Linked DNA regions of Diceros bicornis minor. The protein of the gene in region 3 purifies or fractionates together with the protein of the main gene of each other region. This does not show direct contact. Links are inferred from orthologs where the notes say so. Each region holds a gene or a part of one and is shown on either strand. Other genes may lie near its edges. The genes, in order: RPS6KA3, EIF3J, CSNK2B and ZNF687.

Region 1 (7,722 bases), on a different chromosome or scaffold from region 3:
AGACCAACCTTGACATCTTCTAGCCTGGAGAGAAAACTTTTGATGTATTTACTCAAGTAAATGACTATCTTAAAAAACTGATTTTACTCTGGTAAAATACAATTATTCTCTGATAAGAACCTACTGGGGAGGAGATGGCATAATATTAAGCCCAATATTAGACTTTTGAAAGAAAACTCTCAACCTTTTCCTTACTGGTCTCAATATTTCCAAATTTCTATCAGAAGCAATTTACTTGAAACAGCTGAACAACCAAAGGCAACAAAATATCTAAAGGCAATTTGTTAAAATCTAGTTTTAATAAATCTAGGCAACACTGGCTGTTTGACATACCTCATGCCAGAATATCAAGAAAATTCTTTGAACATGGCAAATTGCGGAATCCTATCTGCCAAGTTCTGGAAACCATGACAGTAACCGAAATAAGTACTTTAACAAATGAGACCTCTTGTAATACCATAATTGTTTCTGAAAAACACATGACCTCTAACTACTGGCTTATTTATTTATACCCTGAATTTTTCCACAAAGGATCTGAAGCAGCTACCCTAATATAAAGCAAAGGACATGAATTATATCCACCTGGCTTTGAATTATGGCTCTGCCATCTACTATTTATAATCTTTGGGCCTTTAACTTCTGAGATTCAGTTTCTTAATCTGTAACAATAGGGACCGTAATCCTATTCTGTTGGGTCAAGGAAAGAAAATGAAATAGGATGTAGCACGGTATCTGGCATATAATAAGTGCTAAGTAAATACCAGTTTTGTGCCTTCCTTATCCAAATGTACGCTACATAGAAAAGGACAAGGTGGAATTTTAAACGATTTTTTTTTCACATTGATACGTGCCAAGCAGAAATGTGAACTGATTATGAGTTGCAAATGTTAAGGTTTGCATCTAAAAATCAGGCTCAAAGCAAATTCAATTTCTTTCCACAAGGTCAGCACTTTGAGAACATATTTTATCAACCTTGTAGCTATATTATTTAACGCAAAAAAAAATTTCTGAAGGAAAAAAAATGAATGAAAAGAGCCCCCTGGCATACTACTTTTCACACTAACCATTCGAAGGATGATTAAACATTCTAAATTTGATTTTCTTATAAAAGATTTATAGTATTAGACTGGCTAACACAATTTTAAATGAAATTCTCGTAATCCTGCCAGTCTTAAAAACATGATTCCCTTTAAAAAAATTTTAGGTAACATATATCAATGTCTTTCTTATTCAAGAGCAGCGTTTAGGTTTTAAAAATACGATCTAAGTCGCAAAATACTAAGCACCAATCGTAAGCACTATTACAACTCTGCTTGCGTTAGGGAGAGCAAGTAAACATTTTATACAGCAGTGGAGGTGACTAGGAAAACACTGAAAAGCGATTAGAACGGATCCCCCTCCCCCTTCATTATATGCTGGAGAATGCAAGTGTCCCGCATCTCAGATCAAACTGAGCCTCGGTCGTACTGACGTAACCAGTAACCCTATCCACCTCTCACACTGCGGAGGCCGGCAGGGCAGCGGCGGCCGCCAAGTACACCACTCATCAGAGCCTGCCCCATTCCACCCCCGCGTTTCAGTCATGCTTTCCAGAAATGGGGTCACTCACTCAGTAACTATTACACACACGCAGCCTATCATCCTGTAATCCCCCAAAGTCCGCTGTGGGGATAGAAGACAGCAAAAAAGTCAAGAAGGAAGAATCACAGACGCGCCACCATCAGGAATTGATTTTCCACTCCGGAGAGGAGCGCTGATGCCCTGGAATGGGTCTTGTCTGGATTATTTTCGCAGACCCCGAGTTGGTTCCGGGACAGGGGCGACTGCGAAAAGCTCAGTGCCGTGGGGTGTCCGGGGAAATTCTGTTTTGCCCTGTTTGGGTATATTGTTTGGGTTTTTTAGCACTCGGGAGGGTGTCTCAGGGACGGTCACCAGATCCCGGGCGAGGAAAACCCGACAGCCCTTTACGGCGGCCGCTGGTCTCCTTGAATATCACCCTCTCACCTCCATGGACAGGAAACTCAAGTTAAACTCGCGGGGGCCGGGTCCTCGAGCTCAGCGACCTCAGAAACGCGGGGGGGGGGGACCTCAGGCTTCCACTTTCTCCTTTGCAGCAGCAGAAACCGCTGCGGCAGATGGGGGGAGGCAAAACCCCTGGGCTGTCCTGCACTCCCTACCCGAAACCCCCACAGGTCGCCGTCCCTGCCCCCGCGCGCCCGTGTCCCCGCAGCAACCCCCTCCCCCGGCCGGACTCGAGAGTCCCTGCTCCCCGGTGAACCCAATCCCTACCCCTCCCTCATCGCCCAAAGTCACCCGGGGCCAGGGAAGCCCCCAACCCGGCAGGGCCAAACTTCCCAACTCCTCGCCGGCCCCCGCTCCGCCTCCCGCTCCCCCCACGCGAAGCTGATTAAAATCGGCTTCTTCCAAAGCCCCAGCGCCCACTCCAAACCCCACGCGCCACCACCCCACAGCCCCCCGAGCGAGGGAGGGGAGGTGTGGGTGCGGGTGGGAGGAACAGAAGGGCAGAGAGACCAACCCCAACTACCCAAACCGGAATCCCAGACCGAGGCGAGACGCGAGCGGCTGAGGAAGGGGCCGAGTGTCCGACTCCCGGGTGGGGAGCGAGCCGGCGGGGGCGAGGGGAGGGGAGGGAGGGTACGAGCCAGCCCCGGCCGCCCGGCTGCACTCACCTCAGCGCTGTCGGACGGGCTCTCCACAGCCATCTTCTGCCACGGGTCCGCCAGCTGCGCCAGCGGCATCTTCCCCCCCGGCCCGCCGCCTTCACCGCCTCCTCCCTCCCCGCCCGCCCCGCGGCCAGCCCCGCTCCGTCGCCGCCCGAGCCCCACGGCAGCAGCGGCGGCTGCCCGGGAGAGGGCTCGGCGCCGACACCGACCCTCGAATGCCGCGTGCCCGGCTGGAGACGTCCGCGCGCCGAGCGAGAGCCTCGCGCCGCTGCCGGGCACCGGGTCTCGCCCCTTTCTTCCTCTCCTCCTTCCGCCGCCGGGACTACAGCTCCGCCCCCCGCCCCGCCGGTTCCCGCGCCCGCTCCCAGCAGAACTGCGGCCGCCGCGCGCTCCCCCACTTCCGCTCACAACATGGCGCCTAAGCGATACCTGTCTCTCAGAGCGAGGCTCGGCAGCCGCCACCACCGCCGCGCGCACCCGGGGGCGGGGCTTGGGAAGACACGCCCCCGGCCGCCGCGCTGCGCTCCTCCTTCCTTCCTCGCCCCAGCCTCAGCTTCTGGGCCTCGCCTACTTTCAGGAAGGGCGAGTCCGAGAGATCTGGGGGCGTCGGCGGGAGGCGGGGGAAAAAAGAGGGGACAGGCAGGAGGGGAGAAAGGCTGGGAGCCTTTAAGTGCCACGGGACCCAGTAGGTCGGAAGCTCCTTGAGGATGTAGAGAACAGTGGTCCCCGCCCAGCTGGGGAAAGAGATGGGCGAGGCGCGGGGGGCGCGGTTTGGTGCCAAGGACCCCGAGAGGGGGCGTGGGTGTCTTTTCCGCCTGAGCCCTCCGTGAGTGCGTATAGGCGCGCGGAGTCTATAGGCACATCCCGTCATGGCCCAGGACACGCCCTCTTCAGGGTCACAAGCTGGGCATTCACCTGCCCCCTCTCCACACGCCCCACGACAGGGACACGGAAGGCTTCGTGCCCTGGAGCCCTCTGGGGGTTCGGCTCTCGGTTTGATTCAAGACTCTCCAAATTGACGCTCTCGTATTATATTTTTAATATTTGGAATTCATTCGTCTTGCAGGAGTCGCCCCCTCCCTCAAGTCCGCAGAGCCCTCGGGCTTCAGCCTTGACCCTCGAAGCCACCCCCACTCCCTGCTGCCTAAATCTTGACGAAAGAGAAAACAAGGAGGTTCCTTAAGGCTGCCTCTCTCAGCAGAGGTTGGGGAATTATTTAAAAATATCTTGTTGGCAGGAGCCCGGGGTTCCTGCTCCTCTGTTGACTTTAAATAAAAGATTAGATTAAAAATCGGGTTGGCGATGGGTGGAGGAGGGGGAGAGAGGGAGGGGTTCTAACTCCTCCTCCTGCCCAAGATAGGGAAGCCCTGGGTTAAGGAAACCCAATCCCCAGACGGCGACGGAGCCCAAGAGGACGAAGAGAGCTTGTGGGGAGAGGCCTGGGCGTCTGGAGTGGGTCCCGGGGGGGGTTCTACCCCGTGTTCCCAGCGCCAGGTGTCGTGGCGAGCTCAGTGCGCCAGGGCAGAACTGTGTAAAAGTCGCCGGTCTGAGTGGAAAGCTACTACAGCCAGTGGCTAACAGCCCTACAAGGAAAAGGAAAAAAGTAAAGGAAAATCTCCAGGCCGGCCAGTGCCTTCATCCCCTCAGGCTTCGGCCCAGGCGTCCGGGTCCTCCCACGCCCGGCGACCACAGCGCGTCCCCCGCTGCGCTCCTGGTGCACGCCTCTTAACAGCTCCCTTTCGTCCTTCCGGGACGCAGACACCTGGAGAGCCCTCGCCTTCCTCCCTAACGCAGGTGTGAGGATGCGATTAGAGCCCCACACCTAGCCGGCCAGGTCTGCGCGGGCGGTGCAAGGTTTCTCGCTGGGCCGGAAAGAGGCAGGTGTTGGGCTTTTTCTGCGGCCTTCGCCGGCGCGCCCCTTGGCACAGGCTCGAGGCCCGGGAGCCTCATGGCCTCCTGAAGAGGCTCCATCTGTTTAGGGAACCTGAGGAGGCGGCCGGAAATCCTCGCTGCGCGCCCTCTCCCGCAGCCTTGGACTCAGGGGGACAGCTCAGGGTTGAGCAACATCTGGGCAGGCTCAGCGTGGTCTGTGGGGTGGGGGGTGGGGAGGACTTAACTCGCGATTTTGTCACCTCCCCCAACAGGCTTGATTCAAGTGCTGCGAATCCAATCTGGACCCAAACTCAGCTAATTTGCGAGCACCGTTTCTATAATTCCTGAGGGTAAAACCAGCTTGCAGAAGTCTGAAGACAAGTAGTTGTGGGTTTTTTTGCATTTACGTACAAAGTGCCTAATTTATCTTTCATTTACATTGCAAAGCCACGTTTCCATTCCTTATACCGAAAAGAAGTTGGTCAATTTGGTTAGTTTAAGGTAAATTAGCCCCCCAAACAGTGATCAATTATTCCAATTAACATTCTTGCTTTAGGAAAAACATACATAGCTGAAAAGAGACGGTTATTATGTATTTAACATTGTCCAGCGCTAATTACTCCACTCAGTGAACTAACCTTTTTAAAATAAATCAGATTGTTTGTATACTGAAAAGTTGATTTCAGTATCAACTTTTATTCATTTCTTTTTACCTTGAGAACTAGAGGAATAACTTTTAAAACAAAGTTAATTGATCTGTAAAACTAATGTGAACAGTGGTCACACTGCCGGAATTAAGCATTAAACGAACTGTTAATAATAGACTAAAGAACCACTAGCACAGCTGTCTTGAATATACGATCAACTTGATAAGTATTTGTGACTTGATTTAGAAAAACGCTATTCTCCTTACTTTTGCCCAAAAAGAAAAGAAAGCAAGTTTTTTTTCTTTTGGTTAACAATAAACTTTTTTCGTTTCTTTTATTAAATCCAAGAGTGGTGCAACCACTCTCTCTGGCTGGAGAATTTGGGAAAATCAAAAAATCAATTTTTTCTTGTAGGTGGCAGCAAAAAAAGTTATTTGAACGTAGAAGCTGATATTGCCTGAGCAGGATTAATTTTTTTTCCTGTTTAAGAAAGGAAAACTCGAAGTGTAGTTATTCAGGCTAATATGGTAGCCACTAGCCACATGTGGCTCTTGAGCACTTAAAATAAGGTTGGCTGGTCCCAATTGAGATGTGCTATAAGTGTAAAGTTCACACCAGATTTCAAAGACAGTACCAAAAAAAAGAACGTAAAGTATCTCATTAATAATTTTTAAAAATTATTTTTTTGCAGTCATATTGGCTTATGACATTGTGTAAATTTAATGTGTACATTATTATATGTCAGTTTTTGTATAGACTGCATTGTATTCACCACCAATAGTCTAGTTTTTATCCATCACCATATGTATGTGCCCCTTTATCCCTTTTGCCTTCCCCCCACCACTTCCCCTCATTAATAATTTTTATACTGACTACATGTTGAAATGATATTTTGAATATTGAGTTAAATAAAATATTTCGTTAAAATTAATTTCAACTGTTTCTTTTTACTTTTTTTATGTGGCTACTATAAAATGTATACTTACATATGTGGCTTATTTGTCAAGATTGGCATTATAGTTCTATAGGACAGCCCTGCTTTAGAACTTTCCTTTAACACTGACCCTTTTCTGTATTCCTACAAGACCTATAATGTTCAGTGATATCCTCACATTCCGCTATCTTTTTGGGCTCCTCTGTGCAAAATCAGCACAAAGGGCTGATTCAGTTACCTACTGAATCTATGCCCCCCCCCCCATAAATCTCTCAGTCAGAACCAAAATATTGGAAAGTTATTACTTGAAACTACAGCAAAGGGAGACAGCAAACCTCAGTCGAAAATCTGGGCTAGATTTCCAAGAAATCATTCCTAATGTATGACAGGACAACCAGATTTAACCTCCTCTGTCCCCAACAATTTCCTGCTATAATTATAACCTTTGTATACAAGTTTAAATGGGCATTTACTTAACAAAATAACATTTGTTCAAAAAATGGAGTTACATCAGTCTGGAAAAGTTACAAGATGACTAACTATGGCTCATGGCACAATCTACCTCACATACATCCAAAATTCACAGCTCTGTTACATATAGGTTTGTCACCACCATAGAAAATGAAGCGTAATCATCATCACCTCTCTGAAAAAGTTTTTTCCCTTTACATTATCTGAAGCATATTTATTTTTCACAGAAAAAGTAATCACTAGAGACTATTTAACTATTTCTTTCCAAAGAGATAAAACTTAGGCTTAAATTTTATCTCACATAAGACAATAATTAAACAAAATGCATGGTGACATATCTTTCACGTGTATGAATTCCATTTTTTTCTTTGAAATTTCCTAAATAAAAATTATTAAGAGTATTTTCCTGATTGACACACATCTTAAGAGACAACAGGAATTTCTACATCTATTTGAAAATTTTATTTGAGAGAATTCAAATTTTGGAAAATGTAAGGATCTTCTCTAGGTTTCCCTCCAGATAGAAAGTTCAATGATTCTAGAGTTGCACATGATGAAAGATGCTAATAAAATCTATAAGGAACTAAGGGGAAGCCATTCTACGATACAAATACTTGAAATGTTTAACATTCTTCCCAGCAAGGCAGTGTGGGCTCATGATAAGAGCAGAGACAGGCCTGTGTCCAAACTCCAGGTTCCTCTACATCTCTAAGCTTCAACTTGAAGGCCTAGAACAGGGTCTGGCACATAGTAGTTGCTCAATAAATATTCGCAGAATAAGCTTTGTTTCCCTCATCTGGAAATAAGGATAATAAAACCCACCTCGTGCGTAGGATTTTGGGGATGATTAAATGCAAATAATGTCTGTAAGCATTAAGCACAGTGCCTGCCACATAGGAAGCACTCAATAAGTGGAGCTATTTTTATCAGCTTTATTCAGAAAGGAGTATTCCTGCATACATAATGTAGTTCAAATACTTCACTCTTGAAAGTTACTTCTTTCCATTTGTTGTGTGAGCATTTTATTATGGTATGATCTATTTCTCTAGGGCACTCTTGTATCACAAAAAATGATACTGTGAGTAACTTCCTGTGGAATTCAAATAAAAGAGCA
Region 2 (7,974 bases), on a different chromosome or scaffold from region 3:
ACTGGAAAGATAGTGGGGTACCCCGTGGCATTTAAGGAAGAGCTGGACAACTGGACCTCAAGGGAATGCATGAGGCAGTAAAGTGGCTTGGGAAATCATCACTCCAACAGGAGCTTGTGGTCTTCCCTTCAGGGTGCTGTCATCAGCCACCAACTCCCAGGCCCTGAGAGTCTTGAGTTCCAAATTCTAAAGTCCTAGGAAAGAGAATCTTTCTGTTATCATTGCATAACAATTCACCTCAAAACTTAAGAGGCTTAAGATGACATCTCTCACAGATCTGTGGGTTGAGTGGGCTCAGCTGGGCAACTCTTGGCTTGGGGTCTTCTGTGATTGCATCAAAAAAGTAGTTGGAGATGGAATCATTTGAAGGCTCAACTAGGCTGGATGTCCAAGATGGCTTCTTCACTCCTATATCTGTTATCTCTGCTGGGATAATCTGAAACAGCCAGCGGCTGGCTGAGTATTTCTCTCTCCCTAAACAGCCTCTCCATATAGTTAGCTTGAATCAGCATGATAGTAAGACTTCCTAAATGGTGGCTGACTTCCACCAGAGTGAGCATTCCAAAAGGTGCAGGTGGAAGCTGCAAGGCTTGTTGTGGCCTAGCTTTAGATGTCATTTCTGTCCTATTCTACTGGTCAAAAATGAATCACAAGGCTAGCCCAGACTCAAGGGGAAGAGACTACATAAGGAGTTGAGTACTGCTCACTAAAGGGCCATCTTTGGAGACCATCAGAGAATCTGGTGGTTCCACTGGGTTACTTACATCCCATCTAGGGGCAGATTCAGATTTTATATGGTTTGAAGCATATACAATTTGGAGGGCTTTCTTGAAGAATGGAAGGGGCCCATGCAATGAGGGTCCCTCAAGCTAAAGCTTCATTAGCTTCAGTTAATCTGCTTCTGACCCCCTTCCCAAATCAGCTATGGTAATGGAGCAAACATGACCCTAGGGAGTCCACCTACTCTTGTATACTAGGACAATTTTCAGAAAAGGAATTATTATTATTTTTAAATACCTTTGTTATGGACAATTTTTTTTTTTTGTGAGGAAGATCAGCCCTGAGCTAACATCCATGCCAATCCTCCTCTTTTTGCTGAGGAAGACCAGCCCTGAGCTAACATCTATTGCCAATCCTCCTCCTTTTTTTCCCTTTTTCTCCCCAAAGCCCCAGTGGATAGTTGTATGTCATAGTTGCACATCCTTCTAGTTGCTGTATGTAGGACGTGGCCTCAGCATGGCCGGAGAAGCGGTGCGTTGGTGTGCACCGAGGATCCGAACCCGGGCCGCCAGTAGTGGAGTGCATGCACTTAACCACTAAGCCACGGGGCAGGCCCCAGAAAAGGAATTATTGTGAGCTTTCCCCACCCCTCACCAGAAGTGCCCAATGTTCAGTTCAATATAATCTGATCATTTGAATCACAAGAACCCAGGTCTCTTGACTTCCAACAGTGAATTTTCAAATATACCATAATTCATAGTATTTTAAAATTTATATTTTTTACCAAAAAAAGTGGTAGAATTGGAAGGATACAAAATTTTTTTAAAAACTTACTATCCTTTCTATACCTTTTTCCTCTGGCTGCTGCTTAAATGTTATGTCCTTCAAGGTTTCTTCTCATTCTTTCCTATCTTCAGATGGCCTCTACTTCCACATGATTCCATCCACCACCATAATCAGATGACTCCAAATCTTCTATCTGGAGCCCAGATTTCTTCAGTTCCAAATGTGTCCTAGACATTTCCATTTGGATGTCCCATAGGAATATCAAGATCTGAGTGGCCAAAACTTAATTTATCCTTATTCCTTATTATGATGAGAGGCACCATTCAGTCATTTTCAGAAACATTTATTGAGCATTTACTACATGGCAGACACTGGGAGTACAGTAGTCAAGAACACAAGGTCCCTGTGCTTCAAACAGACATTAAATAAACAAGGTCATTAGAGATTGTGATAAATGCTATGACAAAAACAGAGTGACGAGATAGAGTCACTAGGGGAGGCCCCTTGCAGGAGGGAGATCAGGGAAGAAAGAGCTTTTTGCAAAGGTAACATATGAACTTTGATTTGAAGGAGGAAGAAAAGCCAACCATACAAAGAGGTGTGGAAGAGCACTGTAGGCAGAAAGAACAGCAAGTGCAAAGTCCAAAAATAGGGAAAGGCTTAGTAGGCCCTCTACCTGAGGGCCAGGAGCAACTGAGGTTAATGAAAGAGAATGGCATAAGGGGCTTGGTGGGAGGAGGCAGGAGTCAGGAGTCAGGAGTCAGACTATACAGGGCCTTGTAAGCTATAGTAAGGAGTTGGATTTTACCCTAAAAATAACAAGAAGCCACTAAAGGGATTTCAACTGAGAGAAAGGGGTGTGACGATCTGATTTACAATTTTTTTTTTTGGTGAGGGAGATGGGACCTGAGCTAACATCTATTGCCAGTCTTCCTCTTTTTGCTTGAGGAAGATTGTCCCTGAGCTAACATGTGTGCCAATCTTCTTCTATTTTTTGTATGTGGGATGCCGCCATAGCATGGCTTAATGAGCTGTGCATAGGTCCACACCTGGAATCCGAACCCATGAACCCCAGACCACCGAAGCAGAGCACGCAAACTTAACCACTACACCAGTGGGCTGGCCCCTGATTTACATTTTTAAATTAAAAAAACTGCCTGGTGCGTAGTGAATAGATTGTGGAGAGGGAAGAGTGGAAGCAGGAAAACCAATTGGGAGGTTATTATACTAGAACAGTCTAGAGAAAGCTTGGATTGAGGTGGTAGCAAGAGTCAGGGGGGTAATTAAATGAACTCAAGATTAATATTGGTAGTAATTCACAGAACTTGGTGATGGATTGAATTTAGGGGGTGAGAGAGAGGAAGAAAGCAAGGAAAGCTCACAGGTTTTTGACTTGAGCATCTATAGATGGGCGTCACCACCACTCACTCAATCTCCAAAGGCATTACCTTCTATGTACTTCTCCCTTCCCCTCCTCCTCCATATCCAGTCAATCACTGTAGCAGTCAGGGTTATCCAGAGAAAAAGAACCAATAGGATGTGTATATATACACAGAAAAAGGTTTATTTTAAGGAACTGGCTTGCAGGATTGCGGGAGCTGGCAAGTCCAAAATCTGCAGGGCAGGCCAGCAGGCTGGAGACCCAGGGGAGAGCTGATGCTGCAGAGTCCAAAGGCAGTCTGGTGGTAGAATTCCTTTTTCCTCATTATGTTTTCTTAAGGCCTTCAACTGATTAGATGAGACCTAGCCACATTAGGGAGGGTAATCTGCTTTACTCAAAGTCTACTGATTTAACTGTTAATCACATACAACAAATACATTCGCAGCAACAACTAGAATAGTGATTGACCAAAAACTGGGTAGATGGCCTAGCTAAGTTGGCACATAAAATTAACCATCATAGTCACTAAATTCTGTTGATTTTGACCCTTAAATATTTCTCAGATTTGTTCCTTCTTTCCTGTCGCCCTTGCCTTACTTTTAGGCTTGTATTCTTCTCATTTAATTCATAAAATATTTACTTATGTATTAGATACTGTGCCAAATACTGGAGATACACTGTGAATAAAAGATTGTGCCCTAAGGACCTTATATTCCAGTCTTTCCCTGCCTTCTGTCTTGCCTCCTTCCAATCCATCTTTCTAAATGGATGCCTGTATATCATTGCCTCTCACACTTTAATGCACAAAGTCTCATCTGAAGATCTTGTTAAAAGGCAGATTCTGATTCAGTAGGTCTGGGATGGGGCCTGAGATTCTGCATTTCTAACAAGCTCCCAAGGTGTTGCTGCTGATGGAGGGACAAACTTTAAGTAATTGGGCTGTAGAATCTCTCTTAAAAGCCCATCTTTACGAAATGTGTATTTGTAGACTCTCTGAAAAGATACACAAGAAATGGGGAACAATGGTTGCCACTAGAAAGAATAGAATAGCTGAACACTGTATACAGCTTTTTATAACTTGAATGTTGTACCAAGTATGTATTCGACAATAAAACATGTGAAACTGCTCTCCTCTTAAACCCTCTGCAGCAAAGACCAGTGGCCCAAAAGGCAGAGTGCAGCTTAGCCTATCTTAAGCCCTTTATTATGATCAGTTTACCTGCTCAGCTTATCTGCGATTGTCTCACTCAGTCAGGTGAGGGACCATATGCGTTCTTTCTATTGGAAGTGCACTTGAGCAAACTTCACTTGGTCTTTCAAACTCCAATTTCCGCAGCGCTTACCTCAAGAAGACTTTCATGCATCCCCGCTCCCCCCGCCGTTATTGTTACCTTTTTACATTAACCTCACAATGTTTCTTTTTGTTGCAGCCATCACACTGTGTCGAAACTTGTTTACACGTCTATCTATGTTACTTGATTATGCGCTCCTTGAAGACAAGGCTAGAGTTTATGCCTAGCGCAGACTGAGTTTCAAAATTATTCTACGAAATAATGAATCATGTACTGGCCTCATGAGGCTCACAGGACAGGAAAATCCTCGAGCACTGGGGCTCTCTTCGATCCCTTCGTGACTAACTCGACGCAAACGTGCCAGGAGCTGACTCCAAGCACCCTGGCTGGGAAGAGTGCCAGGAACGCGGCTCTCTCCACTCGCTCCTTCCCGGGCGCCCCGCGCACACCGGCTTCCCGAGGGATCCCTCCTCCCCCAGCGCGCGAGCGGGCCCTCGGGGGGTCAGCGAGGCCCGTCCACCGCCCCCAGAGGCGGCCGTGGCGTTCAGAGTCCGCTTCTCAGCGCGGCGTGAAGAGGCTGGGGGTCTCCACAAGCAGCCACAGGCGGCGATCAAAGTGACCAGAGGGAGGGCGCACCCGACCAGTCGGGGCGGGGCTGGGCTTGGTAGGGGAAGGATGGCGAGAACAGGCGAGGGCCAAGCGCCAGGCAAGGTACCGCCCTGCTAAGTTCCCCGCACTCACGTTTCCTCCCCGGGGCCCAGGCTAGGGTGGCGGTCTCCGGCCTCTTCATCTCTCCCCGCCCCACTATCCACCAGGACTGTTCCGCGTCGTGGGGTACCGGACGCTCGCCTCGCCAGCCCGCGCTACCCACGCCCCACTGACCGCATTCCACGCCCCCTTCCCGCCTGCGCGCGCGTCCCCGCCGCCACCAGAGGGGGCGGGGCCTGGGTCCCGGCGTAGTCAGCCACGGTCCCAGCCTGCCCCGCGCCAGCCAACGAGAGCAAATCCAGTGACTCACCTCCGCCGCGCTAACTCTTCTCGCTCACTCCTCACACACGCTCACGCCCGGCTCGAGATGGCGGCTGCGGCGGGGGACTCCGACTCCTGGGGTGAGCAAAAGTTCCGGGGGCAGGGCCCGGGCCGGCGCTGGCACCATGCCGAGACAGGGACTAACGCGGCTCGCTCTCTTCCGTAGACGCAGACACGTTCTCCGTGGAAGACCCGGTGCGGAAAGTGGGGGGCGGCGGCACCGCCGGCGGGGACCGCTGGGAAGGCGAGGACGAGGACGAGGACGTCAAGGTGGGTGCGGGCCGGGGCTCCGGGCAGCGCGGGAGCGGACTGGCGCCGTCGCGGGCGGGGTTGCCTGCCGACGGGCGGGCTGATGGACTCTGGGCCCAGGGGCGCCGCCCGGGCCTCCAGGCGCGATCGTAGGGCCTGGCGGTGCCCCCTTCCCCTCCGCTCGCCGGCCGTACGGACCGGAGACGGGCAGCGTTGCCTCGGACTTCCTTGGCGAGGGCGGCGGCCGGGCCCCAGCCCTTGTTTGAGGGTCCGCGCTCCGGCCTGGATTCCACCCCCCAACTGGCGACAGGAGATGACAGCAGCGTCTGGGCCGGTCCACGTGCAGACTTCGCGGCCCGGAGCCGCTCCCCGGGGTGAGACTGGGAAGTTGGGGATTGAGCCGCATGGCTCGTCCCATATGGAAAGTCTTGCAACCCACCTGCCTCTTCGAGCTCAGGTCTCCCCAGGGCCAGTAACTAATTTATGTCTCCGAAGGCCCATTTGTAGAATTTGTTCAAGCAGTTAGATGAGTGAAATATTGTTTAATTTCAATCTATTTTTCATAAAAGACAAATAAAAACAATAAAGTGAAATAAGTTTTAGCCTTCCTTCCCCGACCCTGTGGTAAAAGGATAAACTGAGTCCTGAGATAGCCCACAGTTAATGGTCAGAAACCTGAAAAATGGGGAGTTGACAGAGTGAGTTATTCGTCTAAACACGAGTGACGTCCAAAGAAATATTGAAGATTTAGTGGTTGGAGTGGACGAGGCAGGGCAGTGTTTATTTTTTCCTATTGCTTGTAGGTGTGAACCAGATACCTTCCTCGTTTGTGTTTTGAAAACTCTTGGGGGGCCTCCGCATATGGCTTCAGATGACATCGTGACTACTGCATTCCTTGTTTTTTTTTTTTCCCTTTGAAGTAGCTACAGAAGTCTCAAGCCCAGAATGTTAAGACTCTTATTGACAAAGTTCTCCAAGTCTTATACTGTATTTGTGTAGATAAAGTTTTGTATGGATTGGAAATGTTTTTTTTGTGGTTTTGATTCATTTGGTGAATGTTTTAATCTCCTAACTTCCACCCTTCAGCACATACTGAGAACCCTACAGTTCCTTCTGCTTGGGTTGAAAAAATTTATGCTAATCACTATGAACTTAATACTACCTTTGTTTGGATTTTACTGTTTTGTCTTGAGTCTGATGACGTGGATGTCCAGTTTATCAAACAGCCAGGTACAGGAATGAAGTGAGCTTTGCACCCTTTGGGGTTAATAAATGAGTAGTACTATTGTGAGGATACTTAGATGCTTTATTTACTTGTTGTGTAGACATGGGAATGGATTGTGTTGTCAGACTCATTACAAGATATGTCACCTTCCCACATTGTAGTGAATTTTCTGTTTTGAGCCTTTAGTTCAGATTTGTCCATTCACTTTTTCTGTGCATACTGGATGTAGCATTTAAGACATCTGTTATGAAAATTGGGAACAAGTTGGCAAATGAGAAGAAAAGATTAGAGAAATCAGGAAAGAAGTACCAGAAAATGAAGTTTGAATGGATCAGTCTAGACTGATCATGAAGTAGCCTGCCTGAGGTTATTGAATCTAAATGGTGTCAATCCTGATAAATATAATTCTGACCACTTGGAACTAATTTTGGAGATTTACAAGTTTTAAGGGACCATAAAGATCATCTTGTCCAGTCACCCTTTCAGTGCCGAGTTTCTTTTATACAAATAGCTTATTTCTTTTCTTCTTTTTTTTTTTGTGAGGAACATCAGCCCTGAGCTAACATCCATGCCAATCCTCCTCTTTTTGCTGAGGAAGACCAGCCCTGAGTTAACATCTGTTGCCAGTCCTCCTTTTTTCCCCTTTTTCTCCCCAAAGCCCCAGTAGATAGCTGTATGTCATAGTTGCACATCCTTCTAGTTGCTGTATGTAGGACGCCGCCTCAGCATGGCCTGACAAGCGGTGCATCGGTTCGCGCCAGGGATCCAAACCTGGAGCGCGCACACAGCTAAGCCACGGGGCCAGCCCCACTAATAGCTTCTTTCTTTTTTTGTTTTTTGGTGAGGAAGATCAGCCCTGAGCTAACATCCAATGCCAATCGTCCTCTTTTTTTGCTGAGGAAGACTGGCCCTGGGCTAACATCTGTGCTCATCTTCGACTTTATATGGGATGCTGCCTCAGCATGGCTTGACAAGCGGTGCGTTGGTGCGTGCCCGGGATCCGAACCTGCAAACCCTGGGCCGGGCTGTCGAAGCAGAGTGCGCACACTTAACTGCTATGCCACCGGGCCGGCCCCGGCTTATTTCTTTTACATAAACTTTGACGTCGATCTTGGAGAAGAAAGCTGAACTGTCTGTTTTATTTCCAAGTTGAAATGTTGGTTTCTTTCTTTTGAGTTTCTCCAAGATTCCCAAGATACGGTAGCTATGGAGTAGTTTGATTCCTGGACTTGGGAATCAGGCAGACCTGGGTTTATATTGTTGCCTTGACATTTTCTATATTTGTGGTCATA
Region 3 (7,283 bases):
CCTTCTCTGGCCCAGGCTGGCCCTCAGACTCCTCTGCTTCCTTTCCTCCAGTTAGGCAGGCTGTAGACCATCAGAACCATCTGCTGTTTATTCCCTGAGGAAGAGGCAGTCTGTAACAACTTCCCATCCAAGGTCGTTGTCTCCCTCCCTGAAAACGCCCCCTTCACACAACCCTCAACCAGGATTTCATTCCCAGGCCCAGGTTCTGGGGTTCTTCCCCTCTTCTCAGCTAGACTCCTTGACAGGGTTGAAACACATGACTTCTTGCTGTGGGAACCTCTGTTTTCCTTATTGCCTCAGAAGGAATCAAGTGGGAGCAGAGAGGCCTCACCATCTGGGCGATGCCACGGTTGGTGAGGATATAGCGGGCGTGGATCAATCCATAAAGCATCTCAGCTGCCTGCTCAATCAGGTCACTCTGGTTGGGGTTGTCTTCCAGCTCTTCATCTGAAACATGGCCCCGGCCGAATGTAACCACTTGACTTACAGCTTTTTAAAGATGCCCTGCCCACCCCAAGGGGCTGCTGCCTACTCACTTTGCCCAGCACCCACCTTTGAGCCTCACCCCACCCATCACCTGGGCATTTGACCCAGAAACCTGGGCCTCTGCCCTTCCACGAACCCAAGGCAGCTCTGCCTTCTCTCTACACCTCTTCAGCTTCTGCTCTTTTCTCTCCCTCCCAACTCCCTCCTCAACACACAAATGCAAAGATGTCACTGCAGAATATGAACTCCAGACCAGAAGGTGCAAGGCAGGAGAAACAAGCAGCAAATGAGACCCAGGGGGAGACCAGCATTATGCAACAGAGCTGAGTTATAGAATCAGAGTATGGGAATAAGTGGTATAAATCACAAAACTAGGCAAGAGTCAGGTGGGGGATCAAAATGAGGTAGGGGATTTTGGGTTAAGGGAATCATAAAACCAAAAGGAAATTCAGAAATTCAAGAAGCAGGTGAACAGGAATTTGAAACGAAAAAAAAAAAAAAAAGGCTACACACACAAAACAACCCTGAGGGTGCCTCACCAGGTTCCAGGTCCAAGATCATGTCTAGAGCTTGTCGATAGTGAGGCACCTGCTCATTGAGTCCAGTGAGATTGAATTTGTCCTGGATGTAGTCTTCATCCACCTGTCAGGATATGGAAGTCAAGAGGGAACCTAGTTATAAGGCAGTTATAATCCCTTATAGTAGAACGCTCAGCTTTGACCTGGGCAAGTTGCTCAAACTGATGCTTTATCCTCTACACAACTGCTTCTATTCCCCTTGTGACCCACTCTCAACTTGGCAGAAGGACCTGAGACTCTCTCCTCAGTTTACACACACTGCCCTCCCATAAAAGCTTTGACTTTTCTTCTTTTTTAATTTTATTTATTTTTTTCTCCCAAAGCCCCAGTAGATAGTTGTATGTCACAGCTGCACATCCTTCTAGTTGCTGTATGGGGGACACAGCCTCAGCATGGCCAGAGAAGCGGTGCGTCGGTGCGCGCCTGGGATCCGAACCCGGGCCGCCAGCAGCAGAGCGCGCGCACTCAACTGCTAAGCCACCGGGCCGGCCCTGGCTTTTCTTTTCTAAGGATAAGCAATCTCTTCCTCAGAGAGACAACTCCTTCCAAGATCCCTGTCTCTGCTCCTGCCCCATCTCTAGGAGACAGTTCTGTCCTCTCCTTAGGGGCAGGTGGCTCTCTCAGGAACGCAGAGGCTGAACGGCTTAGGTTCTGAAGATAGTTACAATCCCTTATGTTAACACTTAGCTTTGCACATTATAAAATATCTTAATATGCAGTGTTTCAATTCTCCTAAAAGTCACCGGAGATCGGTACTACCAGCACCACTCTAATAACAAAAAAAGGGAAGACACAGGTTGACTTGTCCAACATTACATTGCTGGAGGGTGGCAGGGTTGGGACTTGGGCCCCAGTCTTGCCACTTCATCACAAGTTAGTGGGGGTTACCGAGGGGACTCTTCCTCGACAGGAAAAAGTTTCTACAGAAGCATCTGAGTGAAGTGTGAGGAAGCTAAATATGCGGGAGGATATCTGGCCAGACTATAAGTGAAGATGTGCAGGGAGATTGAGAACTCACTTCGCAAAAGAACTCATTGCCACGGAGACCACAGAACCAGGAAATCCAGGATACCTCCTCTGAGCTGCTCATCTTTACGTCAGCTGCAAAAAGAAGGGCGTAAGTAGAGTCCAAGCTCTCCCTCCCTGCTTCTGGTATCTTCCCTCCTCCCACACTTTGCTCTCCAACCACGAAAGAATTTGGGCCACCTTTTCTTAAAGGATTCTAGACTCTGGAGCGCCTCCCTTCAGTTCCTCTGGGTTACACCTCAGCCTATCTTATCCGACATTAGAAAATCTTTGAGGTCCCATCACTTGCGAGAAACGCACACATCCTGACCCACCAAGTCCTACCCACATCCCTCACGCTCCCGAAGGCCAGGCTCCTCTGCCCTCCCTATCAACTCCCACAGGCCCTCCGCTCGGGCTCCCTACCCCCGCAGATGTCTGCATGCTCCCTGGCGCTTTTCCCAAGGGTTTCCAAGTTTATCCTTTTCAAGCAAGAGCTGGGCCCCCTCTTTTCTCACGGCCAGGGGTGACCGTCAGGTCCCTTTCACCGGAGTCCCCACATCCCGCCTCCGCCCCTCAAGCCATCCCTCCCTCCCTCGGTGCCGCACCGGGTCACTTCCTTCTCCGCCTCCACATTAAGGAGCGGAGACCCCATGTGCCGCGCCCAGGGACAGGGGACTCGGTGCGGCGACGACCTCAGACTCACCGGGTGGACGAGGGCCGGGACCAGGGTGGGGGAGGGGAGCTGCTGCTTCCAAAGAACCGCGGCGACCGCTACAGCGCAGGCCGCGGACCCGACCGCGGCAGGCGAGTGGGGCGGGGGGAGTGGAAATCGGGGAGGGTGGGGGAAGAGGGCAACGCGCAAGCGCCAAGAGTCGAGTGCCCGAGTGGACGCCGGGAGACGGAGTCCTCGGTGGGGCGAAACTGGCGAAACGAGGGAAAGGCGAACTACGAATCCCAGGATGACTCTCACACGACCCTGGTGTCGCGAGGCCGCTGGGGAAGACGCTTGGGGGCGGGGCGCAGTGAGGCGCCACCGGAAGAGGAAGCCCAGTACGGCGTCTGGGCCAGGGAGCTTGGGAAATATAGTCGTGTGATCCGGGGACCGAGGGGCCAAGAGGGGGCGGGGAAAGGAACGAGTCTGGCTGGATCGTTTCCTGCCGCTCCCGTGACGCCTAGCCCCGGCGCGCCTTTGCTACCCAGGGGACTACTGACCCCATCTCCGGCCAACCCGCCGAGTCTTTATCGCCTGTCGAGCCCCTCACCCGAGTCAGGCCCGCCACTGGAGACCCCCGATGGGGCCTATGTTTCACCCCGGGCTTCGGCCTCCTGGGACGGGAGGTGAGGCCGGGCTCCGTGCTGAGGGACCTGGGTAGGGTGTGCTGAGCTGAGCTGAGCGGTGTGAGAGCCGGGACGGCCCAGTGCGCTAACCTGAGGTGGTGCCAGCCATTCTGCTGCTTGTCCCCTTGCACTTCTCCATTTCGTCTTAAGGCTTGAAGGGGGCCTTCTGCTGCGGGCTCTAAGTGTGACCTTCGAACCCTGGGCAGTAATGGTGAGGGGCAGCGCGACGTTATTTCATTTCACAGCTTCTAGGCATTCCACAAGTTTCCCTCCGCTTCCTCACGGCCTTTCTTAACTCAGAGAGTGGTTTCCCAGCTCCAGAAAATGAGTTCGGAGCGGGGGCCAAGTAGAGGAAGGCGAAGAGCATTCTGGGGGTGTTATGTAAAAGTAGGACCCCCCCCCCCCAACCGACAGATCCTCCTCGCTCCTCGCGGTACCTCGGCACGTGGCGCACTGGGCGCACAGTATTGAAAAGGGTCAAGGGCGGGAAACTGAACCCGTGCTTTGCGCATGCCTGCTCCCTCTACTAATGTTTTTGTTTTTGTTTTTTTCCCAGCCACGCATGCATCTTCGTGTCGTGTGGTTATTTGATTGTGTCAACTCTTTTGCTTGGAGTAGCGCCATTTTGCAGTACGGAAGCTACAAATCATCGCAGACCAGAGCATCTCCCTGAAATCTGCTTCCGCAGAAGTGTTAAGTCTGTGGAGAAGTGTCAAGTCTGTTTTCATTTGGGAAGAGGATACCGAAGCAGGATCAAGGAAGATTTAAAGGGCCAGGCTGATTGTTTTTCTTAATGGTATGTCTTAACGGGGTGGTAAAGTGGTTTCAGAGAGAGGCTGTTGTTATTTATTGTTGGTGAGGATGGGGGTGGACCACAAGACCTCTGGACGACTGTCTCATGTTGTTGTCTTTGTTAACCTTTACTATGGGGCATGGTCTGTTATTATAGGGTTTCCTGTTTTTTCACATGACTTAGGTCCCATAGGCCCTGCAGGGTCCTAGGTTGTGGGGTCATTTTTGGGGCAGGAGGGGGATTTTGACTCTAAGGTTACTTTTCTTCATCCCAGCAGGCATCTGGAGGTGGCTCTGGTCACTGCAGGGCCACTAGGGGGTCGGCTTGCTTGTCTCATCCTCCCCTTGCGTAGTCTGTTTCCCAAAAGCCATGTCCAGGCCCTCGCTCATCACCTTCACCCCGGCCACTGACCCCAGCGACCTCTGGAAAGATGGGCAGCAGCAGTCACAGCTTGAAGAGCTGGAGCCCACCCTGGATGGGGCTGCAGCCCGGGCTTTCTATGAGGCCTTGATTGGGGATGAGAGCAGTACCTCTGAACCCCAGAGAGCTCAGCCTGAGCCTGCCAGTGACAGAAAGAGGAAGAAAAGAAGAATGATGAGGGAGGCTGCAGCAGGAGCATCAGGAGGACATGGACAAAGGAGATCCCTTGAAGCTGAGGACAAGATGACCCAGTGGATACTGAGGGCAGCCCAGGAGGGGAATGTGGCAGAACTAAGAAGGCTGTTGGATCCCCAGGAAGCAGGGGGAGCTGGAGGGAATATCAATGCTCGGGATGCCTTCTGGTGGACTCCCCTGATGTGTGCTGCCCGAGCAGGCCAGGGGGCGGCTGTGCGCTATCTCCTGGGCCGTGGGGCTGCTTGGGTGGGGGTCTGTGAGCTGGGTGGCAGGGATGCTGCTCAGCTGGCCGAAGAAGCAGGCTTCCCTGAGGTGGCCCGCATGGTCAGAGAGAGCCACGGAGAGACGAGGAGTCCAGAGAATCGGTGAGGGGAAGCCTTAGCCCATATCCGTCTTTCACTGTGTTCTGTCCTTCCTAGCCACTTCACACCAGAGACCCCAGAACAGAGCTGAAGGTTTCTTTCCCCCATCCCCCAGTGTAGGTTGATAAGGCAGTGTGGCAGAGTGGGTATGAATATGAGTTCCCTGGGTTTAAATCTTGATTCTCCTTACTTGGGCAAGCAACCTAATGTCTATGCGCCTCAGTTTCTTTATCTGAGAAATGGGGGTAATAACAGCACCTTTCTCATAGGGTTGTTAGGATTAAATAGGTTAATATGTGCTAGAACAATGCTTGCCACATAGTAAGCACTATATAAATATTAGCTATAATCATTATTATTATTCTTCCCCCGCCCAAGAGCCTGTGAGGCCTGGTTACCATCTCCTTCTCCCAACTATTCCCCTCTGGGTCCCTCATTACTAAGTGGGGAGAAGAAAATTTGTTCCTTAGCAGCAAGACTGGAAGGACCCTGTCCCACCCTGACACTCCTCTCTGAGGCCTCAACCCTTCCCTTGCTCTCAACCCTTTCTCTTTTTCCTCTGCAGGTCCCAATCCCCTTCCCCCCAGTACTGTGAGAGCTGTGACGCCCACTTCCAAGACTCTAACCACCGCACATCCACTGCTCACCTGCTGTCACTGTCTCGGAATCTCCAGCCCCCCAACCTGCCCCTTGGGGTGCCCACCTCCAGCCCAGGCTTCAAGATGCTGCTGAGGGAGGGCTGGGAGCCTGGAATGGGGCTGGGACCGCGGGGCGAGGGCCGCGCCAATCCCATCCCCACTGTCCTCAAGAGGGACCAGGAAGGATTAGGCTACAGATCAGTGCCCCAGCCCCGAGTCACACACTTCCTGGCTCGGGATACCCGGGCTGTGGCTGGGAGGGAGAGAGCCCCTCGGGTGATCACACTGAGTCGGAGGGAGGAGAGAAGGCAGGAGGAGAAGGACAGGGCCTGGGAGCGGGATCTGAGGACATACATGAACCTTGAGTTCTGACCTTAGCAAGGTCTGACTCTGGTCTGCTGCTCAAGTCTGAAGTTGGGCTTTTGAACTGGACACTTTGGCTTCTATTTCCTAAGGTCTGCCCAGGTCCTAGACCCTCAGGTTTTGGTCAGTGGGCTCTGCCTTTGGGGGAGAGGGGCTGAGAGTTGAGAAATAAATAAACCTTCTCGCTCTTTTGTGTTTTATTTACTTTTCTGGAAGCTGTTGCAGGGAAGCCAAACAAGTCTGGGGGCCACATGCAAGTCCCACCTGAGACAGAAGGGGCAGCCCCTCCAGGTGGCATGAGAGGGTCACCTCCCTGCCAGTCTGGTTCACTTCCAGGTCCTAGCCCCTACCTGGAGTGCCCCACCTATTCTTTTACCCCCTGAACGGGAATTGCCCAGCCCTGTGTAAGTCTCACCTCTCCCAGGAAGTGTCCCTGACTACTCTAGCCAATTCAATCACTGATTTCAAAAAACAAGTTCATATATTTTGTGCTGAGAATAGGAATAGGAGACTTTCCCAACCTTCAAGTTGCTCACAGCTGGAGAAGGAGATGCCCATGGGTTCAAATATACTGCATGGTGATAGGGGACATCAGGGAAAGCTCACAGAGGTGATGAGAGCAAGTAGGGTTTTGCAGGAAGAGGCCATTGTGGTGGGAGGACCTAAGATTATCCAGGCTGTACGCTGTTAGCTGAGCTGGGATCAGAACTCCGCCCTCCCAAATCTAAACTTTAAGCCAAGGTTCTTCATTTCACTACCTCAAAATTCCTAAGGGTAGGAAGCACATCGTATTGTCTATACTTGTGTTTTCCACACTCCCCTGTCTCCCTCCTGCTGCTCATACCAGGTGCCACGCACGTGAGGAGCTCACTGTTGTCAAATCCAGGAAGTAAAATCTGCGTGGAGGGGCAGGGAAGGGCTACTCAAGCCCCAAGACTCTTCTCGTAGCTTTTTTTTTTTTCCGGAGAAGCCTTTCATGAAGTCACAGACAAGAGGAGTGGTGGGGGGCTAAAGGGGACGCGCGAGTTTAGGGGAGCACAAGCGGCCCACGGGCCTCTGGGCGACGAAAAGGGAGGTGGGGTGGCGTTTACATCAGGCCCTG
Region 4 (7,802 bases), on a different chromosome or scaffold from region 3:
CTCAAGAAAAAATAGAGCACCTGTCCATCAAAATACAGGGTCAAGAATATTCATAGTAGTTATGTTCACAATAGCCAAAAACTGGATACAACCAAAATGTCCATCAACAGTAGAATGGATAAATTGCGGTTTATTCATAAAATGAAATACTACATAGCAATAAAAAAGAATAAACTATTGCTACAACATGATTAGATCTCACAAACAAAATGTTGAGAGAAGGAAGCTAGATACACAATAATGGTAAAAGCAGAATGATGATAAAAGCAGAATAGCAGTAGCTATTGCCTGGGCAAGGCTAAGAGGGAGCCTTTGGGGAGCTAGAAATACGCACGCGCGCATGCACACACGCGCGCGCGCACACACACACACACACACTCATGGAGCAGTACATTCTGATTATACCGCCTCTCGTTGTTGCAGCCATCTACTGACCCCACCCCACTCTGTTACTACTCCTATACTACCCCTATCATAATTCTTGATTTCAATATCCTTTTAAATGAGCCTTTCAACCCCCTGGGCTCTCAGTCCCTTGATCTCCTCTTCTAGTCCATCCCTCTCTCTTGAATGCCTGTTTCCTACCTTCTCTCTCCTCAAAGCTCTAGCTCCTCCATCATCCTCACTCTCTTAGGGAATGATCTTGTTTCTTCACTGCGACAATAGAAGCAACTGAAGAGATCTACAGCCCCCTCGCATGTCCTCTTCCTCTGCCTTCTCTCTTGTTTTTATGGGTGAACTATCCTTGTCTCTCCATTTGTGAGAGAGACCCCACTCCTCACCTTTTTAAGCATTTGGCTCCAGAAAATTTTCTCTATCTCTTCGCTGCAACGTCAATTTTTCCTCTTCACAGGATCATTCCCACCAGTGTACTAACATACTGCAATTTCTTCATCTTGAAATAGTCCTTTCTTGACCCCTTTCCCCTCTAGTTACCATCTCATTTCTCTCCTTCCCTCCTTTGAAAGAATTGTCTATAGTCACTGTCTCCTTTTTTTCCCCCTCCTCCATTCTTTTGAAACCACTACATGCAAGCTTTTGTCGCTGCCAATCCACCAAATCTGTCCTTATCATGATCACCCATGACTTCCATTTTGCTTAATCCATTGGTTAACTCTCAGGTTTCATCATATTTGATCTTTTAGTGGCATCTGGCAGTTCATCATTCTTTCCTCCTTGAAACACTTTATTCGGTTTAAAGGCCACAACACTCTCCTGGTTCCCTCCTTCTCTTCGCTATTCTTTCTCAGTCTCCTTTACTGGTTCTTCTTACCTCTCTGACTTTTAAACTTTGGAGCTCCCCACAGCTCAGTCCTTGGACATTTTCTCTTTTCTATCCTCATATATTCCCTTGGTGATTTTATTCATTCTGAGCCAGATTTTAAATATTATCTATAAGCTGTTGACACCCAAAGTTATATCTCCACTTGGATGTGTCATATGACTGAACATGACTGAAATTGAACTACTGAACTTACCTTGGAACCCACTTCTCCTGTAGTCTTCCTAGCTCGGGAAATGGCAACATCAATCTTCTATTTCCTCAGGCCCCAAGCTTTTGAGTTTCTTTTTCTCATACCCCACATCCAATCTTTTTAGAAGGTAAGTCATGCCACCATGTCATTTGTCTCCTTCCCATCTCACTCTGAGAAAAAGCCAAAGAGACAAAGTCCTTCCAATAGCCCCCAAAGCATCCCATGACCTGGCCCACTAATCCCACCCCCTTACCTCTCTGGAACCCTCTACCACTTGTATTTGTTCCCTCTTTCCGGAACCTTGTCTTCCCAGACAGCTGCATGGCTCACTCACCAACTTCTGGCCTTTATTTAAATGCCACCTTCTCAGAGAGGCCTTCACTGCCCACCCTATCTAAAATTGCAACCCTCCCCACACTTTCTGTCCTCTTTCCCTGCTTTATTTTTTCACTTTAAAAAAAATTAGTAGACTTTGTTAGAACAGTTTTAGGTTTATAGAAAAATTGAGCAGGATTCCCATATATTTCCTTCCCCCTAGTTTCCCCTCTTAACATCTTGTATTAGTGTGGTACGTCTGTTACAATTAGTAAACTAATATTGATTCATTGTTATTAACTAAAGTCCATAGTTTACATTAGGGCTTTTGACAAATGCATAATGTCATGAATCCACTATTATAGCATCACAGAGAACAGTTTCACTGACCAAAAATCCCCTGTGCTCCACCTAGTCATCCCTCCCTCTATCTGAACGCTTAGCAACCTTTGTACCTTTTGTGTGTGTGTGTGAGGAAGATTAGCCCTGAGCTAGCATCCGATGCCAATCCTCCTCTTTTTGCTGAGGAAGATTAGCCCTGGGCTAACATCTGTGCCCATCTTCCTCTACTTTATATGGGACGCCGCCACAGCATGGCTTGCCAAGCCGTGCATCCGTCCGTGCCCCCGGTTCGGAACCTGTGAATCCCGGGCCACTGAAGCGGAGCGGGTGAACTTAACCGCTACGCCACTGGGCTGACCCCCCTTTTTACTTTTTAAACACAACTTTTTAATGTTTCCATAGTTTTGCCTTTTCCAGAATGTTATATAGTTGGAATCATACAATATATATAGCCCTTTCAGATTGGCTTCTTCCACATAGCAATGTGCCTTTAAAGTTCCTCCATGTCTTTTCGTGGCTTGATAGCCCTGCTTTATTTTTCCCTGTGGCAATGATCATTTCTAACGGGCTCCCATATATTTTACTTGTCATATTTATTGTTCGTTTTCTCCACAGGAACACGTTTCATGAGGACAGGGATTCTTGTCTGCTTTGTTCATTTCTGTATTCCCAGCGCCTACAACAGTGTTTTTACTCACAGACGGTGCTCAATAAATATTGATTAAATTAAGTTATTTCTTAAATGAATGAATAATGCATCTAACTGAAGAACAAATTTCTATCCAGAACCCTCCTGGCAAGGGAATCTGTGAAACATAATGTTTAACTTTTTGGACTCAGAATTTCAACTCCACTGCCTTTGACCCTGGGTAAGTCACCTAACCTAACCTGTCTGTGCAGCAGTTTCCTCCACAGTAAAATGGAGGTGATAATAGTACCGCCCTCACAGGGTTGTGGTAAAGATTAAATGAATTAATATACATAAAGTTCTTATAATAGGTCCCACACGTATATCTGAGTAGTAATTATTCCGTACAGAAAGACTCAGAGAGGAAGGTGGGAATGGAATACCGGTTGGCTACACCCAGTACGCGACTCTGAGTTAGTTGTTTCGAGATGGAAGAGCGCTGTGAGCTGGAGCAATGGCAGGCAACCTCGAGAAAGAAGGTGGTGGAGTGGGCGGGCACTAATCCCACTTGCCCATCACTTTACAAAGCACTTTTACATTCTAAACGCTTTTAATCTTCACAAAAGCAATCATGTCAGGTGGGTATTATAATCTCCATTTTACCAATGGGGAAACCGGTTCAGGGAGGTTCAGCGACTTGCCCGATGAAACCTATGCTAAGTGGTGGCCCCATCCAGAAGCTCTGATTCACACCTCAATACAGTCGCTATTACCCACGCAGACTCTCAGGGCGCGCACGAGTCCTGGTCCACGGGTCTAGTGACCCTCGAGCAGGGTACAGAACCACCTTAGTAACTACATCCAGGTTGTGAGCGACTGCGCGCGCGGCAGCTGCGGGGGCTCGCGGGCGGGCTAGAGTGTGCGCAAGGTGGCACACAGGGCTTGTGCGTGCTCATTAGAGTATCAGTGCAACTCGTTTTCCGAGCATCCCCTCCCCTTCCCCCGCCTCCAGGGGGCGGGGCAACAAAGCGCGGGAAAACCTGCCTCGACTCCACCCCCACCCCGTGCTGAGGGCGGGGAAAAGGAGAGCTCTTAAATGGGAAATGGATGCGTGTGTATGGGGAGGGGGTACCCCCCAACCTCGTGCTTAGTAAGCCTACCAGTATGCCGCTTTAAGATCCCTTTGGGAATGGCCCAGGCCACGCCAGCACTCCTAACGTCACCTCTCCCCTACTTCCGGTGTGCAAGCCCGTTCCAAGCCTCAGGTGCCTGTTCCTTCTGCGCTCCAAGTCCCGCCCCTGTCCCAAGCCCTCCCGGGAGGGAGGAGCTATGGGTGACGTCATCGCCAGGAGCTGGGAAGCGCGAGGACCCCAACCATCCAAATTATATGACAGTTTAGACTGGGAAAACAGAGAGGAAATGGTCACCAGATGACGTAAGGATTTGGGTGACGTCCCATTCTGTGACTTTTGCACTGTATGACTGATATTGGGGGTTAGCCTGAGCAAAAAGCGAAAACCGATCTACACATCCGGGGTCCACTGAGAGTCGACGATGTTCCCCTTAGTGTTCACCAAATAAAAGCTGAGAGTTCTTTAAATTTGCATAAGTGAACTGCAGGCTTCAAGGATCACGGCCAATAGGGAGTGAGGGGGCGGAGACGCACCTGGGATAGTCACCGCCTCCAGTAGGAAAGTCGGGAATCAGATTGGCTTCTTTCTAAACGACAGTAGCGGAGGCCAGTCGTTTTTGAGAAGCACAAATGGGGCAAGTGGGCCCCGGCGCAACCAATGGGGAGCAGCATCTTCAGAAGGACTAGGCTCCTTGCCCAATGAGGCTGGGAAGACTGTGCGGGGCTAGTTGCGAGCGGCAGTACTTAAGGCCAACCCAGTGCGGGGCTGGGAGGGGCGCAGTCCTGAACGACGGGGGTACTGGCCAATGGCGAGTGCGAAAGCGGGCAGCCCAGACCGGGAACGCGGAGGGAGCTGAGGGAGGGGGAGGCTAAACGGGGGAGAAGCAGGAAGTAGCGGCGGCCGCGGGGAGGGCGGCGGTGGCGGTGGCGGCGGCGGCGGCTGGAGCAGGGGAAAGAGCGCGGGGTCTCGGCCCGCACTAGGAGCGGAACGAGTAAGCGTGCCTGGGGTAAATACCCGCCCTTGGCCCCGCCCCCTGGGGGGGCGGGTAAATGCCCCCGCCCCTCCCCCACTTGGTCAACTACCCCCTTCTCCGCGCCGCCCCCTGGGGCAGCTTTTAGGAAGGCCCGACGCCACTTCCATCCCCTGGGGCGGATGGGCGAAACTCCCCGCCTGTTGAAAGCACAGCCCGTAGCCGGGTAAACGTGGAGGGAGGGTCGGAGTCCCCAAGTCCTGGCGCCCCCCAGCCCAAGAGGCGTCCGAAGCGCGGCTCGGGGACTGGAGGCTGCGGGATGTCGCGACCTAAAATGGTGTCCGTGTCCGGGGGTGGGGGCGGGGGAACTGGGCCAGGCCGGAGTGGAGCCTGCACCCTGACTGGGCGCAGGTCAGCGTCCGGGCCTGGGCCGGACTCGGGCTCGCGCCCCGGGACGCCGCGCGCTTTCTGCTCACTCCCCAGTCTCGAGAGACCCCCGGGAGTCCGCGGGAGGAGGAGGCTGCGCCGCGCGGGGAGAGGAGGGGACGAGGTCGGAGTTGGGACGGCCCCTTGCTGGAGAGCTTCGAGTCACGCAGAGACCGTCCCCTCCCCACTCCTCTCTTTCCACGCGCCTCCCCCGTCCCGTGTAGTCCTGGGCCCGGAGGTGCCCCGCGGCAGCTCCCTAAGGGTCTGGCCTGGCCGAGGCCGGTCCTTCCTTTCGCATGGCGGTGGGAGCGAGACAAACGCCACGCGCCTCAATTTCCCCTCTGGCTTCTCCTGTGCACACCCCGCCCCCTCCCACAACCCCGGACGTGCTCCCCGCGCCGGCCCTCGGCAGATGGCAGGGACTTAATTCCGCCCGCTGCCCAGCTTGGCGGCAGCCTAATCGCCCCGGCCGCCGGCCCCTCGCCCTCCTCTGCGTAGCAGGCCCCGGGCCAGAGAAAGGGTAATGGAGCTTCCACCCGACTTAGGCCAGTTCACCCTCTTCCTGTTCAGCCCCTTCTTTTGGCTTTTGGGGAAGAACAGAGGGAAAGGGAGGGCTGGAGCTCAAGAGACAGGGCGCAGCAGCCGCAGAAAGGCCTGGGCCGGTGGTGGGGGGAAGCCTCTTTGCCTTGAGCTCTGCTGTTTGGTTGACTATCCACTCCTGGCTATCGGATAACCTCTAAGTCTCTTGGACGCCAAAGGGGGAGCTGCTTGGGGGAGGCGAGTTCACAGAGGTTTTCTCATAGTCCCCACTGATCTCTGCTCCACCAGCTCACTTTTCTGAAGGCCTGAGTGAATGGTAGCTCAGGCCTCTCCAGGTCGGGAGAGAGCCAGGCACAGGAGGGCCCTGGTGATCCATCAGGCCAGAGGCATGGGGTGGAGGGCTTTGTTTAAACTCAGAGCCTGCAGAATTAAGTAGGGGAGGATGAGGGGAGGACTCCCCTTTCTTTCGCTAGTTGGTACCCTCTCCCTCCACCCCCACCTTGGTCCCAGCAATGCCAGCTGCCACCTGCTGGGACTATCTCCAGTTACAGTCTAAAGGCTGGAAAGAGGTGAGAATTGGCCCTGGGAAATGGCCTGCATCCTGGGTAGGGAATGTGTAAGGACAGAGCCTTCTTCAGTTGCTTTTTCCTAGATATAGAAGCCCTTGTAGGGAAAAACTGGTAGGGAACAGACTTGAGTCCCCCGCAAGCTCTAGGCTGGGCTTCTTGTTGGTTTAGTGCCACAGAAGTCCTGTGGGATTTTTTTTTTTTTTTAAATACTAGGCCAAATTGGGGTTGGGCGAGACTTCCTGGGCTCCTGTTGCCAGGGGAGAATTAAAAGGATGAGGAGTGTGAGTTAGGGGATAAACTGGGATGAAGAGCTCAGAACAGAAATGACAGGGGTGAGGGGGCCTGGCTTTTCCCCATTGTGGCAGCTGTGCTGGATAAGCTGGTACCCTGGAGTTTTAGCCCTGAGAGAGCAAGATGGGGAGGGAGAGAGGGAGGAGGGGCTGGCTGGGAGAGGGCCCCTGGAGGGCTGAGGCACTCTGGGGAAAGGTAGGTGAGTGAGCAGCAGGTGTTTGTGACAGGAGAGGCCTAGCCTGGGGCCCTTGTGACCAGACTGCTGCCACGGTTTTCCCCTCTGTCTCTTCTCTTTGTCTCTTTCTGTTCCTGTGTCTTATTCTTTCCATCTTGGTCTCTTGGGCGATTTCCCTGAGTCCACTTCTGCCTGTTAACCAAGCTAGATCTCCAGGTGCCGGTGATGACGCCAGGTGCCCCAGACTTGACCTTATATGATCCCTAACTCTTGTGTCTGATCTTAGCCCTGGATGTCCAGTGCTTACTCCTTTCCAGCTCCTCCTTAACCTGACATGTCCTTGTTTGTTCTAGCTGTAATAATAAGTCGTATTCTGGGTTCTGACTGTCAATGTTTACAATTCATATCATGCTCAGAATAACCCTATGATATATGGATTACCTGCCCCCTCTTTCAAACAGCAAAAGTAAGGCAGTGGAGTAACTTCCTTATACAGCAGGCCATTGATAAAGCTGGAACTCGAATCATTTCTCACGTCTTGGCTTGAGTCACTTCCCCTTTGTACACATGGCTTTTCAGATCTCTGTGGACCCCTAGAAGATCCATGAAGAATATGAATGGATGCCATGCTGCCATGAATGAGCCCTTAAATCTAGACCATTGTGTACATCCTCCTTGATAGTAGTATTGATTAATTGATTCTATGTTGGGCACAGGAGGGGCTGAGGTGGTTTCAACCAAGATGCTCACTGAACTCCCTCTGTCTCTATCACCCTTATCTCTTATCTGTATTTCTCAGGAATCTCTTTTTCTCTGCTTTCTCTGCATCTTGATGTCTTCCCTGGAATGTGCACAGTACCTCCCTTTCAATTTTACGGTTTGGCAAACCAGTCACCTGTACCAGCTCTCTGGGATTTGCAGTATGGTGGAGGTGTACG

The links.
Region 1: the proteins of CSNK2B (region 3) and RPS6KA3 purify together in Homo sapiens (affinity purification with mass spectrometry; 5 studies listed by BioGRID and IntAct, with this or other methods). This does not show direct contact. The link is inferred for Diceros bicornis minor from reciprocal best matches to the Homo sapiens genes CSNK2B and RPS6KA3.
Region 2: the proteins of CSNK2B (region 3) and EIF3J purify together in Homo sapiens (co-immunoprecipitation; 3 studies listed by BioGRID and IntAct, with this or other methods). This does not show direct contact. The link is inferred for Diceros bicornis minor from reciprocal best matches to the Homo sapiens genes CSNK2B and EIF3J.
Region 4: the proteins of CSNK2B (region 3) and ZNF687 purify together in Homo sapiens (co-immunoprecipitation; 3 studies listed by BioGRID and IntAct, with this or other methods). This does not show direct contact. The link is inferred for Diceros bicornis minor from reciprocal best matches to the Homo sapiens genes CSNK2B and ZNF687.

The regions. Positions count from the first base shown.
Region 1 is NC_080781.1:16,902,468-16,910,189, forward strand, and holds the start of RPS6KA3 (ribosomal protein S6 kinase alpha-3), read right to left. Parts: upstream 3,007-7,722; 5' UTR 2,760-3,006; coding exon 2,691-2,759; intron 1-2,690. UniProt on the Homo sapiens protein: Serine/threonine-protein kinase that acts downstream of ERK (MAPK1/ERK2 and MAPK3/ERK1) signaling and mediates mitogenic and stress-induced activation of the transcription factors CREB1, ETV1/ER81 and NR4A1/NUR77, regulates translation through RPS6 and EIF4B phosphorylation, and mediates cellular proliferation, survival, and differentiation by modulating mTOR signaling and repressing pro-apoptotic function of BAD and DAPK1.
Region 2 is NC_080744.1:41,734,464-41,742,437, forward strand, and holds the start of EIF3J (eukaryotic translation initiation factor 3 subunit J), read left to right. Parts: upstream 1-4,959; 5' UTR 4,960-5,254; coding exon 5,255-5,288; intron 5,289-5,374; coding exon 5,375-5,478; intron 5,479-7,974. UniProt on the Homo sapiens protein: Component of the eukaryotic translation initiation factor 3 (eIF-3) complex, which is required for several steps in the initiation of protein synthesis.
Region 3 is NC_080753.1:33,097,614-33,104,896, forward strand, and holds the start of CSNK2B (casein kinase II subunit beta), read right to left. Parts: upstream 3,001-7,283; 5' UTR 2,776-3,000; intron 2,544-2,775; exon of another isoform or gene 2,496-2,543; intron 2,166-2,495; 5' UTR 2,155-2,165; coding exon 2,083-2,154; intron 1,129-2,082; coding exon 1,026-1,128; intron 448-1,025; coding exon 332-447; intron 1-331. Other genes in the region: GPANK1 (G patch domain and ankyrin repeat-containing protein 1), read left to right, coding at 4,573-5,183, 5,746-6,190. UniProt on the Homo sapiens protein: Regulatory subunit of casein kinase II/CK2.
Region 4 is NC_080743.1:55,552,742-55,560,543, forward strand, and holds the start of ZNF687 (zinc finger protein 687), read left to right. Parts: upstream 1-4,799; 5' UTR 4,800-4,884; exon of another isoform or gene 4,885-4,899; intron 4,900-4,928; exon of another isoform or gene 4,929-5,089; intron 5,090-5,293; exon of another isoform or gene 5,294-6,398; intron 6,399-7,802. UniProt on the Homo sapiens protein: May be involved in transcriptional regulation.